Linked DNA regions of Nothobranchius furzeri. The main gene of each other region encodes a partner of the protein of the gene in region 2 in a complex. Links are inferred from orthologs where the notes say so. Each region holds a gene or a part of one and is shown on either strand. Other genes may lie near its edges.

Region 1 (3,500 bases), about 42 Mb from region 2:
TGGTTGAAGGAGCGCTTGATGCTGTTGGCCATGGCCACTCTGGCAGGACTCACATCTTTGTAAGCCTGGATAAAATCGTCAATAGACCTAGAAAAATACAATAATAAATTATACAACACAAGTAAACATTTCTATTAAGATATTTTAATGAATATTTACTGCTGTTTTATATCATCACCTCTGCTTTTGCATTAGATGTGGGACGTTCTGCTGGCAGGATGGACGTTCCTCTTCAGACAAACTATCCATTGGGTAGGCTTTAGGAGGCCGTTCGTGTCGGTAAGTTATTAACGGGTCCGGAGGCCATTGCATCGAAGATAGAGGCGTGCTGGCTGGGGCCAGATTCGGGAGATTCTGCAAGTGTTTCATCATGTAGGACCTGGATCTGGTGTCCACAACCCCCTGGCCAGAGCCTCTCCTCTCCCCAGTGGCCCAAGACACCTTTGGCTGTGGGAGGAAGTGATTTTGAGGCTGGGAAGGGGAGGTCAGCGGCTGGAAGAGGCTGGTGATGTTACTGAAGCTCTGCTGCATGTTCAGGTTGCTGATGTTGCCCACAGAGCCGGCCTGAGCCACCTTCAGGGGCTCGAGTTCTGGAATGATGGGAGTCAGCTGGAAGTCCTCGCCATCCATGGGGATGTAAGGAGCCAAAGTCTCCAGGTCCAAGTCGCTCAAGTCCGCCTGGAGGAGAGGAACCAGGACAGATCGGTGGTGAATATTGTTCTCATTTTTACATGAAATGTGTTTGACATCTGTGTCAGTGAGCAACGACAGCATTATGTTAAACTATAAATGATAAAATGAGCCAGTCCAGTCAGCACACATAGGAAGACCACAAATGGAGTATATATGTGAAAACCTGACTAGTCTGCAAATATAAAACTAAACGTACTGTACATCCATTTATTATTACTGAATTAATTTGGGACAGTATGATAGAGCAGAGACTAGCTGAGAGCTCCTGGTAGGAGCACTACAAGCACAGAAATTAAATATTCAGTAAACGTTAACAAGCTGTACTGATTTTGATTCTGAAGACAAACAGAATCCTCTCCGGTGTCCAAATCGGGTCGCATGTCTTCTGAGTCAAACTGTCTCAAACATGTCAGCTCCTCCAGCCATCCAGCTAGCGGTGTCAGAGTTCGGTAGATCTTCTACAGTAACCAGATATCTGTTCTCGTCGCTGTATCCCAGAGAAAAAAACAAATCTGACCGTCTAGCAGAGGCTTCAGAAGCTACATCTGACCGATGACACATCGAGCTACAAGGCTAAAGCAGAAACATCAGAGTCGGGGGTTGTTTACACTCGCTATTTGAGCAAAACTCCTTGTGAGACATCACCAGCTGCCCAGGGCTTAGACCGGAAACCATTTTTTGTTTTTGATGCTGTAACGTAGATTAGGTTGTCACGGTAACTGGTGTAGCGGTAAACCCCGGTAAAAAAGTTGACAATAATAACCGTCTTGTTTTTTAAAAACTATATTATCTCGGTGGGTTACCGTGGCTGCTGTGTAGGCGCGGTGACCCTTACCAGCCACCGTATCATCTGCTGAAGTTGCCGGCGGCACACGCGCACTTTGTTGTTTACAACCAAAACTTTCTTGAAGCTAAAGCTGAAATAATGGCCAAAGGAGGAGACGGCAGCGCTCAGGAGGACATTTTTATCCCTCAAAGAAGACAAAGTGGGAAGTACGGGCATCTTTTAGATATTTGAAGAATGCCGAGGGACAGTTGATAGAAGACGGCCATCCTGTTTGCAGCACGTGCAGAAAAAGTGTCTGTGAAAGGCAGCAACGCTTCAAATCTCATGACACATCTGCGTGACCATCACCCACAACTCTACAGTCAACGCAAGGCAAGCTAACGTTAGCGTTTTAGCTGAAATGCGTGATCCGAGGATTTGGGTTGAGGGAGAATGCAACGAGTCGCTATATAAAGCAGCCGCAGCACCGCTACCTGCATATAAACCGTGCCGCGGACACCCCCATGTTGAAATGACGCTATGCATTACGGGGCTCCCAGGGGCAGATAAGAGTTGGTCTCTCTCCGAGAATAATTATGAATTTAACAATGATTACTGCCTGATGACATTTTCCCACATCTGCAAAGCTCACTGGAAGGACAGGGTTAGGGTTAGGTAGCTGCAACCTTTAACATTCCAGAAGTCAACTCCTCCTGGCAGCAAGCCGACTAGACTTCCTAGCCAGCTGGACCTACCAAGAACTTTCATCACAAGGGTAATCGTAGTCTCTCACCTGGCATCAGGATGGTTTTATTACTAATTTGATAACTTGTTAAACCTCATTAAACATTCAGCCAGACTCATTTTACAACTCACACATCACAATTTTCTAACATAACACAACAAGAATTAAATCATCTTATAATTCTCTGGTAGATTAAAGGAACATGGTCTGCATACATGTGAAGGTGTGAGTAAGTACTGTGTCCCACCTCAGTGCTTGCTGAGTTGTTCCCCTCTGTGTCCAGAGCAAAGAGCTTCTCAGTGAGCTCTATCCTCAGATCGCTCTCCACTGGGCCGTAGTAATCACCTGGGCTGCTGGGCTGCAAGACAACATCGGAGACAAAAGGTCTAAATGTGAGAGGAAAGACAGAACGACACAAAGACACCATTCAGAGCTAACGGCCTGCTCCATCCAATCCTCCACCCCCGATATTCTCACACACTCTGCCCACTTTCGCTGACCTCGCTGAACACAGAGAGAGCAAACACAATCGACCAGAAGCTGACTAATTAATGGTGAGACATCCTCACCGTGGAGCAACTGCTAAGGCTTGGAGTGGCGCTGCCCGGAGGACGGTTCTGCTGCATGGTGAAAGGACCGGCCTTGTTAGCCACATCTCCTGACGGAGTTTGGGCTCGAGCAGGTTTGTGGCTCTCGCTCGGCCAGGATGACGGTCCCGGAGGAGGCATGGATGAAGACGAAACCGGGGTGTACGCAGCTGGCTGTTGGGACTCCTCAAACTGAGGGCGACCTGAGAGAAATAAGTGAAAATATTTTTAATTCAATCTTTAACGCACATTTGTAAACACGAAATTCCGTTAAACAGGCAGAGAAGAAGTCAGAGGTCAAACTGACCGAAGTCCAGGGAGATGATAGTGTCTCCAGGTGTTGGAGCCAGCTGAGCCAGGTCCTCGGGCTCCTCTTTCATTGAGGTGAAGAGGGAATCTCCTGGCTCTCCATTCATGCCCACTCCCTCTGGAGTGAAGAAGCTGCTCATGTGTTGAGGCTTGAACAGTGCCTCCATCTGCTCCAAGGAGAAAATCACAGACTTCTCCTCCACGTCACTAAGGGACGGTGGAAACATGACAAGGTGGATGAAACATAGGGAAAACGTTTGTCTTTTGATCTTGGCTGAGCAGCACTCACCTGAGGACATAGTTGATGCACATGACACACTGCGGCTGAGAGTTTCGGCTGTTGTAAATGACGGTTCCCTGAGTCTCCACCCAGACATAACCCCCGCTCTTTGCCAGCATG
Region 2 (4,273 bases):
TCCATGTAAGGCCCTATAGACCAGAACCAGGATCTTGAAATGAACCCTGAAGTTGACTGGCAGCCAGTGAAGCTGGAGGAGAAACGGGGTGATGTGGGTGTGTTTGGAGGACTTGGTCAGAAGCCGAGCACAGGCGTTCTGAACCACCTGTAGACGGTTCAGGGAGGTTCTGCTCAGACACGTGAAAAGAGAGTTACAGTAGTCTAAGCTGGGGCAGCAGTAGCTCAGGTGGTAGAGCGGGTTGCCTCATGATCGGAGGGTCATGGGCTCGATTCCAGCTCTCGCCAGGGGTATCCTGCTGTTGTGTCCTTGGGCAAGACACTTCACCCAACTTGCCTGTGTTAGTGGTGGTCAGAGGGGCCGACGGCGCCAAATGTCAGGCCTCCCCAGGGCGGCTGTGGCTACAAGTAGCTTACCATCACTAGCAGTGTGTGAAAGCGTCTTTGGGTGTCTAGAAAAGCGCTATATAAGTTCAATGCATTATTATTATTATTATTATTATTATTATTAAGCGTGAGGAGAACAGTCTCAAGATCAGATCAGGACAGAATGGGCTTAGCAATGTTTCTGAGATGGAAGAAGGAAGAGCGAACAAGAGAACTGACATGAGAAACCACGGTGAGAGCTGGGTCAAAGGTCACACCAAGATTCCTGACCAGGTTTGGTGTGAGAAGCAAGCTCACCAAGAGCATCACTGAAGAAGTTTATCTGGGCACAGAGGTATGATCTCGGTCTTGTCTTCATTCACCTCTAGAAAGTTCCCAGTCATACATTTTTTCATTGAGTCTAACAAAGTCTAACTAACAAAGCATGCAGCAGCTGCTGCTTCCATATGGAGATGTACAGTTGAATGTCATCTGCGAAAAGATGGCAGCAGATTCCTTTAAAAGAGCTCAGGATGTGGATGTGAGCCTTGTGGGACACCATGGGCAAAGGAGGTGGAGGAGGGCTGAAACCTGGAAACGGCCACAGAAATAGAAATTATGAGATAGTATCTCACAATAGCATCTCATAATTATAAGATCTGTTTTTTTTAAACAGAGTAGCAGGAATGGGCTTATTTTTGCTCATTTTAAATATATTTTTAAACATTTTCTAAATGCTTTTTTATATTTTTACATTTTTTTATTTTTTGTTTTTGTGAAGCGCCTCGTGATTTTTATCTTGAGAGGCGCTATAGAAATGATACTTTCTTCTTCTTCTTCCAAACGTGCTTTCTCTGTACTTTGAAGCGTTTCATGTTCAGTCTGTTGGTCATCTGTGTATACATGGAGATACGATGTCTGGGGTTCTCCAGTGTTTCAGAAATCCACCCTTCTTCATGAGGAATAAATTGTTATATTTCAAGTAATGTTTCCGAATCCAAGGGTAGGAAGCTTGTGAGTACACATCGAGGCCGGTTACGTCATAGCAAAGAGACGAATGCTGTCCGAAAAGGAATGATACTTATATATTTTAATAGTTCACTTCAGCAGTGAACCAAAATGTGTCAAATACCCTCCACGTGTCCCGGCCCTGGTGTGTATTTCATTTGACCCACAACTCCTGAAGGCAACGCGGGGGCGGGGTTTGAGCTCTGACGTCAACGAGAGCCACGGACAAACAGCACGCACACAGAGCGGCGCCATGCAGTAGACCGATCCCGACAGCTAGCCTGTCGAAATGCCTCCCGAAGCCCTCGAGCCGACCCGCGGCTGAATGCTTGTCCACGGGCGCACACTGTGGCGTTACTTCACCGTTCGAACATGCGGAACCGGGACAAGACCGACAAAATGGCGAGCGTTTGAGTTTAGTTCGACCGTTTCGCTCGGCGTAGCGAGACAGAGGCAGTGGCTCTTTCCCCAAAGTAAGTAGACGGTTAGCAGGGCGCGTGTGAAGGATCGAAATTAAAGGAGCAGTACAACCGCTGCAGCTCTCGTAATGGAAAAGCAGCAGAGCGATTTGGACCGAGACCGACAGTATTGTGAACTTTGTGGGGAGATGGAGAACCTCCTTAAGTGTGGAAGGTGCCGAAGCTCCTTCTACTGTAGCAAGGAGCACCAGAAACAGGACTGGAAGAAGCACAAGCTCATTTGTAAGGTGGCGGACAAGTCCCTGATTTCCAAACAGATACCCGGACACACTCCTCCGTCGGGAGAGGACGGGGGACCGGATAAAACCAGCACGGAGAATGTCCCCGATCAGTCGAACTCCCCGTCTTCACCACCAGCCCCAGACACAGAAGCACCTGCAGCCGGGTATCGAGCGGGAGAGGTGGGATCTAACGGCCCCGCCACACCTAACGGACAAACCAGCCTGTCCCCTCAGAGACTCGCCGTGGAGATCATAGTACCGTGCATGAACAAGCACGGCATCTGCGTCGTGAACGACTTTTTAGGAGAAAAGACCGGGCTGAGCGTTCTGGAGAATGTCAAGGCCTTGTACAAAAAGGGTAAATTCACAGATGGACAGCTGGTCAGTCAAAAGAGCGACTCTCCTAAAGACATCAGGGGGGACAAAATCACGTGGATAGAGGGGGGAGAGGACGGCTGCGAGAAGATCAAGTTCCTCATGGGTCGCATGGACGACCTAATCAGACATTGTAATGGCAAACTGGGGAACTACACTATAAATGGAAGGACAAAGGTAAGTATTGCAGCATGTCCAGGTAGAAGACTGTCAATCAGAAGTGTTGTCCCTCAGAGAAACTCCTATTGTTCAGTAATACATCAGTCACTACATAAAACCTACTTTAAGTCAGCAAATGCATATGAGTGGAGGTAAGCTGCCTCCAGGGGAAAGCATGGCTAATGCCCCGAGTCAGGTGGATTATTCCACCCAGCACATGGATGCAAAACACAGAAATGCCTCCCACCAACAGAAATAAGCTGCTGAAGGCCAACCATGACCACTGTGATTCCCCACTGTGCAGCTTTAAGCAATCTAAATTAAACTTTTTAAAATGACTCAATCTAAAAAGTGTTTTGGCAGAATAAAACAAGATGTACGAGGCAAGTAAGCTTGCTAGCATAAAGTCAGATCAAAGTGTGCACGTTCTTAAATATCAGAGTAAAACTAATCCAAATGGCAACAGCTTTGCATGAAAGGCGCTATTAAAAAAAGAACTCAACTGTACTGAATGTTAAGTTTTCCCACCGAGGGACAAGTAAGACGCAATTAATGAACTCCTGATTGGATTAAAGCAGCATGCAAGGTTTGCATGCACACAGCACATTTTTATATCATGGATCATTCAAAAGAAAGCCAAATTTTCTTATTGCATTAAACATAATTACAATTACAACTTAAATTATGGCTGTGCAATTTGTCAGATCGGTGTTTTCATTCCAACAGTCACAAAAACAATGTAATGAAGGAAATCAATGATTATTTTTGTCTCTTCCGTCCCTTACAAAGCCTAAACTCATGCATCTTGTCAAGTTTTAAAAAGTTGTCCCAAGAAGGTAATTAAACTATGTCTGCATGAATATGTAGTTAATGTCTCACAAATATAGCTTTCTTTGGTCTCTTTCCTCAGAAGGCCGGGTTTTTACAGTCATCCTGTTGCTTTCTGCAAAAATCAGGATGTTACTGAAATATTTCTAAATGGGTATGACATCTATGGCAGTCTGTCTTGCTGTTAGGCCAATAATGATTTTTATTTCACGATTTTACTATGGTGGAGCGGTTTATGGCACAGTAAGGAGGTTGTAGGTTCGAATCCCCTTCTGTGCTGAGTTAGAATGTTCTTGGTTTTGTTCAACTCATTAAGTACATAATTGTGATCTCAATATTGACCAAAACAGCCGTGATTTTTTTTTTATATAATCGAGCATCCCTGTCATCGGCCATGATGTACATAACTGTGTATTTGTTTTAATTCACTTCTTTTTCTTGTGTCCGTCACAAAGAAACTTATTTAAGCAGCATTTACGATCAATGCAAATGGCTACAATTTTATTTTTGCACAACCACTGTGACTGTTAAAAGAGCTGTTTAGTAAAATATTTGCATATCACAGCATGATGGGCATGTTTTCAGTAGACAAGAAGAAGTAGCCTAGAAAATTCCACCAGATCATCAGTTTCAAATATTCGCTGATCCATTCATGCAAATGTAGTAGATTTTTATGTCTCTAGGACAGTAGCACAAGTGACTATGCTGAACGTTGATCCATTTGGAAAACAGCCCCCTGAAGTCGGATAGACATGTGGATCATTAACAGGGACCCAGAGTGACGCAGCACTGGCCAGGTGGCTGGCTGAATACTTCAGTTCACTAACAACACACGCGT
Region 3 (3,500 bases), on a different chromosome or scaffold from region 2:
ATAACTTTGTAGCTTCCCAATTGTAAATGGAACTTAATAGCAGCAACACTGAGTGTTTTTCTGTTTGTGTGTTCATGTCACCGAATAGAAATTTTGACCCACATGCTTTTCGCTAGATTAAATCAGCACCTAGCCTATTTCCCGAGGGACGGTGATTCGGCTCAGCATTGAAAATCTTCCAGCCGCAGAGGACCAATTAGCTTTATCGTGGATCGGTTTGTGCATCACGTGTGTGTAATGGAAAGCTTTCGTGTGAAACACAGCCTGCCTGTTAACTAAAATTAGCCTCCTGCAAATTACATTATCTGGTCTATTTTCTGGCAAAAACAAAAGGGCCTTATTCAGTGCTGTAAGTGCGTGCCAGATCAATTTCAATCAGGTGTGCATTTCATAGCTGTGGGTTTTTAAGCTGTTCATTTGGTCGTCTGGCTGCTCACATGTCATCTAAATGTATTTCAACTTACTGAGGTGCAGTTTGCAACAAAGATTGGTGATATAAATTTATGGCATATGAATGGGAGATGAAATCTGTTTTTTGAGGCATCGCGGTTTTTCTAAATCGATTTTGTTTATGTTTATTTACCGCAATGTTGAGCAACATAAGGTGGAACAGGAAGTACAGCACAGACTTTAAAAAAATTTTTTTATAAGCACATAATGGAGGCACAATTTGCAGTGGCGTGTCCAGGCCTTTTAAAATGGGTGGCTCCAGTGGGGCACTAATTTATGCATGGGTGGCACCTATAGTTATACTTTTTGTTTTGATCTGCGGGGTTGTCACCCCTCACAAAATAATACATTTTTGCATTATTCTTCAACTTCTTGTTTTGAGGTGGTTAGCAAGCCACTTCTTGGTGCATTACCGCCATCTACTGGAGTGAGTTTGGACCAGGACTATGAATACTATTTTTGTCAATATGAAAACAATAATTAATAATACACAAATGTTCTGTAGGCCTGTGACTAGAAACTAATGTTAAAAGTCCATACTGTCGACTACTGTTTTAGGGGTTAACCCTTATTTTTTTGTGGACAACTTAATGTCAATTTAAGTGGAACTCATTGGGGTGGCCAGTCAGATTCCAAGAGTGGCAAATGCTGCTCCAGACCACTCACTGGACACGCCATTGACAATGAGCAATAAAAAGAGTGAACAAGTGAACATTTTAAACATGGCCGCCGAGCGAGACCAGTGTTGTGTCAAAAGGCCTTCCTTCTCCAAATATCGTCTGTTTTTCTTTTGTTTTTGATTCTGAATCAAGACAACAGCAAACATCATTCAAAATAATATTAAACCCACAACCATTTTTTGAATGAAAGCGGCCATTTGATGCACCCCTTCTTGTTCTTACCTTGAATCTAACAATTTTGTCTCATTAAGTTTTTATAGTGTAGTGATTTCAGTCACTTGAAGAATCAATAGCCCTGCTTTGATTCAGCGGTGGTCACATTAGCCGAAATGGCACTGTAAAATGTCTGAATCAGTGTGTGGGATGGGGGTGGGGGGATGGCTGAGCTCTGACTCTTTCCTGTGTAGTCATTTGAGTGGGCGAGTCCTATTTCGTTTGTTCAGCAGCCAATAGGACGCTTGCATTGCACTGGCTGGGCTGAGACAGCCTGTTGAATGCTCCAGCTGCGCTGGCCTCTGCAGACATGTTTCAGTTTTGGGAAAAGGGATTTTTACGTTTAACAAACCCAGCATGAGGCTGATCCACCTCCTGTCTCCTGCAGGGTGAGCTCGGAGCGCAGGAAGGAGAAATCAAGGGATGCAGCAAGATGCCGCCGTGGGAAGGAGTCGGAGGTGTTCTATGAGCTGGCCAAGCAGCTGCCTCTCCCCCACAGCACCAGCTCAAGCCTGGACAAGGCCTCCATCATGAGGCTGACCATCAGCTACCTGCGCATGAGGAACCTTCTCTGCAGTGGTCAGCATCTGTAGCGACAGATGATTATAAACCATTCCACTGCTCTGTTAACCATGTACCTGCAGTATGCTTGTCATATTTGTTATCTTGTTGACTTCAGAGTAATTCACTTCATTTACATGTAGCCTATAGTGGAAAACACAAAGGAGGTACTGCGTATTCTGCCATAATCTCTCTGCAGAAACACCTGGGGCTAGAGGAGTGGTTTTTCTGTGTCTGCAGCTGTTTGAACCGGTTATTTGTCCTTTAGCTTATCACCCACCTTGCTCCCTCTCTCAATGCTCCAGATAAGCCAATGGAAGAGGGGGAAACTGAGCTTGATGTTCAGCTGAACGGGTCCTACCTGAAGGCGTTGGAGGGCTTCCTCATGGTGCTGTCTGAAGACGGCGATATGATTTATCTCTCGGAGAATGTCAGCAAGTGTCTTGGGCTGGCGCAGGTGGGTCTGAAGCAGGGAATTAAAAAATAAGTGCACATTTTTAAGCTTTAAATGAATACTTCTTGGTAGCTCTATTTATATATTTGTGTTTTAAAAGTATATTTCTGTTTGTTTGCCTTTGCAGTTTGACCTGACTGGCCACAGTGTGTTTGACTTCACACATCCCTGCGACCAGGAGGAGCTGAGAGAGATGCTCCTCTGTAGAACAGGTGAGCAGTGTTGCACTGAAGAGTACAAATGTGTAGAGAAACCGAGACGCGCACACACAGAGCTCTCTGTCGGGTGTGTTGGTGCTCCAGATGGTAGAAAGTCCAACTCACTCTGTGGTCAGCTCTGCTTAGTAACGACACAAAAATCCACTCCGGTTTTGAGCAGTGGCTGAGTAATCTTCCGACCTTTTAATCATCAATAACAGATCTTTGCTTTGCTTCTCGTTAGTGAGATAAGTTTTGCTGAATCTTCTCTCTGCTTCGGTTCACTCTTACATTTAGGACCTGTGTTTTTTGTTATTTCTTTGCTCACTGATACCGCCTCGGCTCTAACTGCTGGTAGCTATTTCCATTTTATCCTCTAGCTCACCACAAGGCCACAGCATCAGAGCAAATGTCTCCTTTTGATGCAAATTTTATCAGTTGGCAGTTTGTAGATTGTTGAGTTGGGACCAATAAAAAAGAGCAATCTACTGCTGGCTTACTCTGCCTCACTCTGGATTCATATCTGTTTAATTTTGTGATTCCAGGCTCCAAAAAAAGCAAGGAACCAAATAATGAACGGAATTTCTTTCTGAGGATGAAATGCACCCTCACAAGCAGAGGTCGCACGGTTAATGTCAAGTCGGCTACATGGAAGGTAAAGAAGTGTTGAAGCTGTGGAGCATCTCGGGCTCCTAAATTAAAAAAGTTACTTAAAGTAAAAAATAATAATTACAGAAAGATTAAAGTTTCCCTCTTGGTTTGAAAACGTGTTTCTGTAGGTCCTTCACTGCTCGGGTCACATGTGTGTTCATGACCATCGAGCAGAGCAGATGGAGCCACTGCTCCCCTACCTGGTTCTGATCTGTGACCCCATCCCCCACCCTTCCAACATCGAGGTCCCTCTGGACACCAAGACGTTCCTCAGCCGCCACACCATGGACATGA

The links. The genes of interacting proteins can lie anywhere in the genome.
Region 1: the proteins of egln1a (region 2) and epas1b are in contact, whole or in part, in a crystal structure (PDB 7Q5X), measured with the Homo sapiens proteins. The link is inferred for Nothobranchius furzeri from reciprocal best matches to the Homo sapiens genes EGLN1 and EPAS1. Residues at the interface, in NP_071334.1 of Homo sapiens: Gln239, Leu240, Val241, Ser242, Lys244, Ile251, Arg252, Trp258, Asp277, Ile280, Arg281, Ile292, Asn293, Gly294, Arg295, Thr296, Lys297, Tyr310, Val311, Arg312, His313, Val314, Asp315, Pro317, Asn318, Asp320, Arg322, Arg370, Trp389, Tyr390; in NP_001421.2 of Homo sapiens: Asp525, Leu526, Glu527, Thr528, Leu529, Ala530, Pro531, Tyr532, Ile533, Pro534, Met535, Asp536, Gly537, Glu538, Asp539, Phe540, Gln541, Leu542.
Region 3: the proteins of egln1a (region 2) and hif1aa are in contact, whole or in part, in a crystal structure (PDB 3HQR), measured with the Homo sapiens proteins. The link is inferred for Nothobranchius furzeri from reciprocal best matches to the Homo sapiens genes EGLN1 and HIF1A. Residues at the interface, in NP_071334.1 of Homo sapiens: Gln239, Leu240, Val241, Ser242, Gln243, Lys244, Ile251, Arg252, Trp258, Lys262, Asp277, Ile280, Arg281, Ile292, Asn293, Gly294, Arg295, Thr296, Lys297, Tyr310, Val311, Arg312, His313, Val314, Asp315, Pro317, Asn318, Asp320, Arg322, Arg370; in NP_001521.1 of Homo sapiens: Leu559, Glu560, Met561, Leu562, Ala563, Pro564, Tyr565, Ile566, Pro567, Met568, Asp570, Asp571, Phe572, Gln573, Leu574.

The regions. Positions count from the first base shown.
Region 1 is NC_091752.1:43,855,479-43,858,978, reverse strand, and holds part of epas1b (endothelial PAS domain-containing protein 1b), read right to left. Parts: coding exon 3,390-3,500; intron 3,308-3,389; coding exon 3,099-3,307; intron 2,995-3,098; coding exon 2,774-2,994; intron 2,563-2,773; coding exon 2,452-2,562; intron 679-2,451; coding exon 179-678; intron 88-178; coding exon 1-87.
Region 2 is NC_091752.1:2,296,032-2,300,304, reverse strand, and holds the start of egln1a (egl nine homolog 1), read left to right. Parts: upstream 1-1,473; 5' UTR 1,474-1,920; coding exon 1,921-2,625; intron 2,626-4,273. UniProt on the Homo sapiens protein: Cellular oxygen sensor that catalyzes, under normoxic conditions, the post-translational formation of 4-hydroxyproline in hypoxia-inducible factor (HIF) alpha proteins.
Region 3 is NC_091758.1:31,049,934-31,053,433, reverse strand, and holds part of hif1aa (hypoxia inducible factor 1 subunit alpha a), read left to right. Parts: intron 1-1,731; coding exon 1,732-1,922; intron 1,923-2,209; coding exon 2,210-2,361; intron 2,362-2,485; coding exon 2,486-2,570; intron 2,571-3,100; coding exon 3,101-3,210; intron 3,211-3,334; coding exon 3,335-3,500.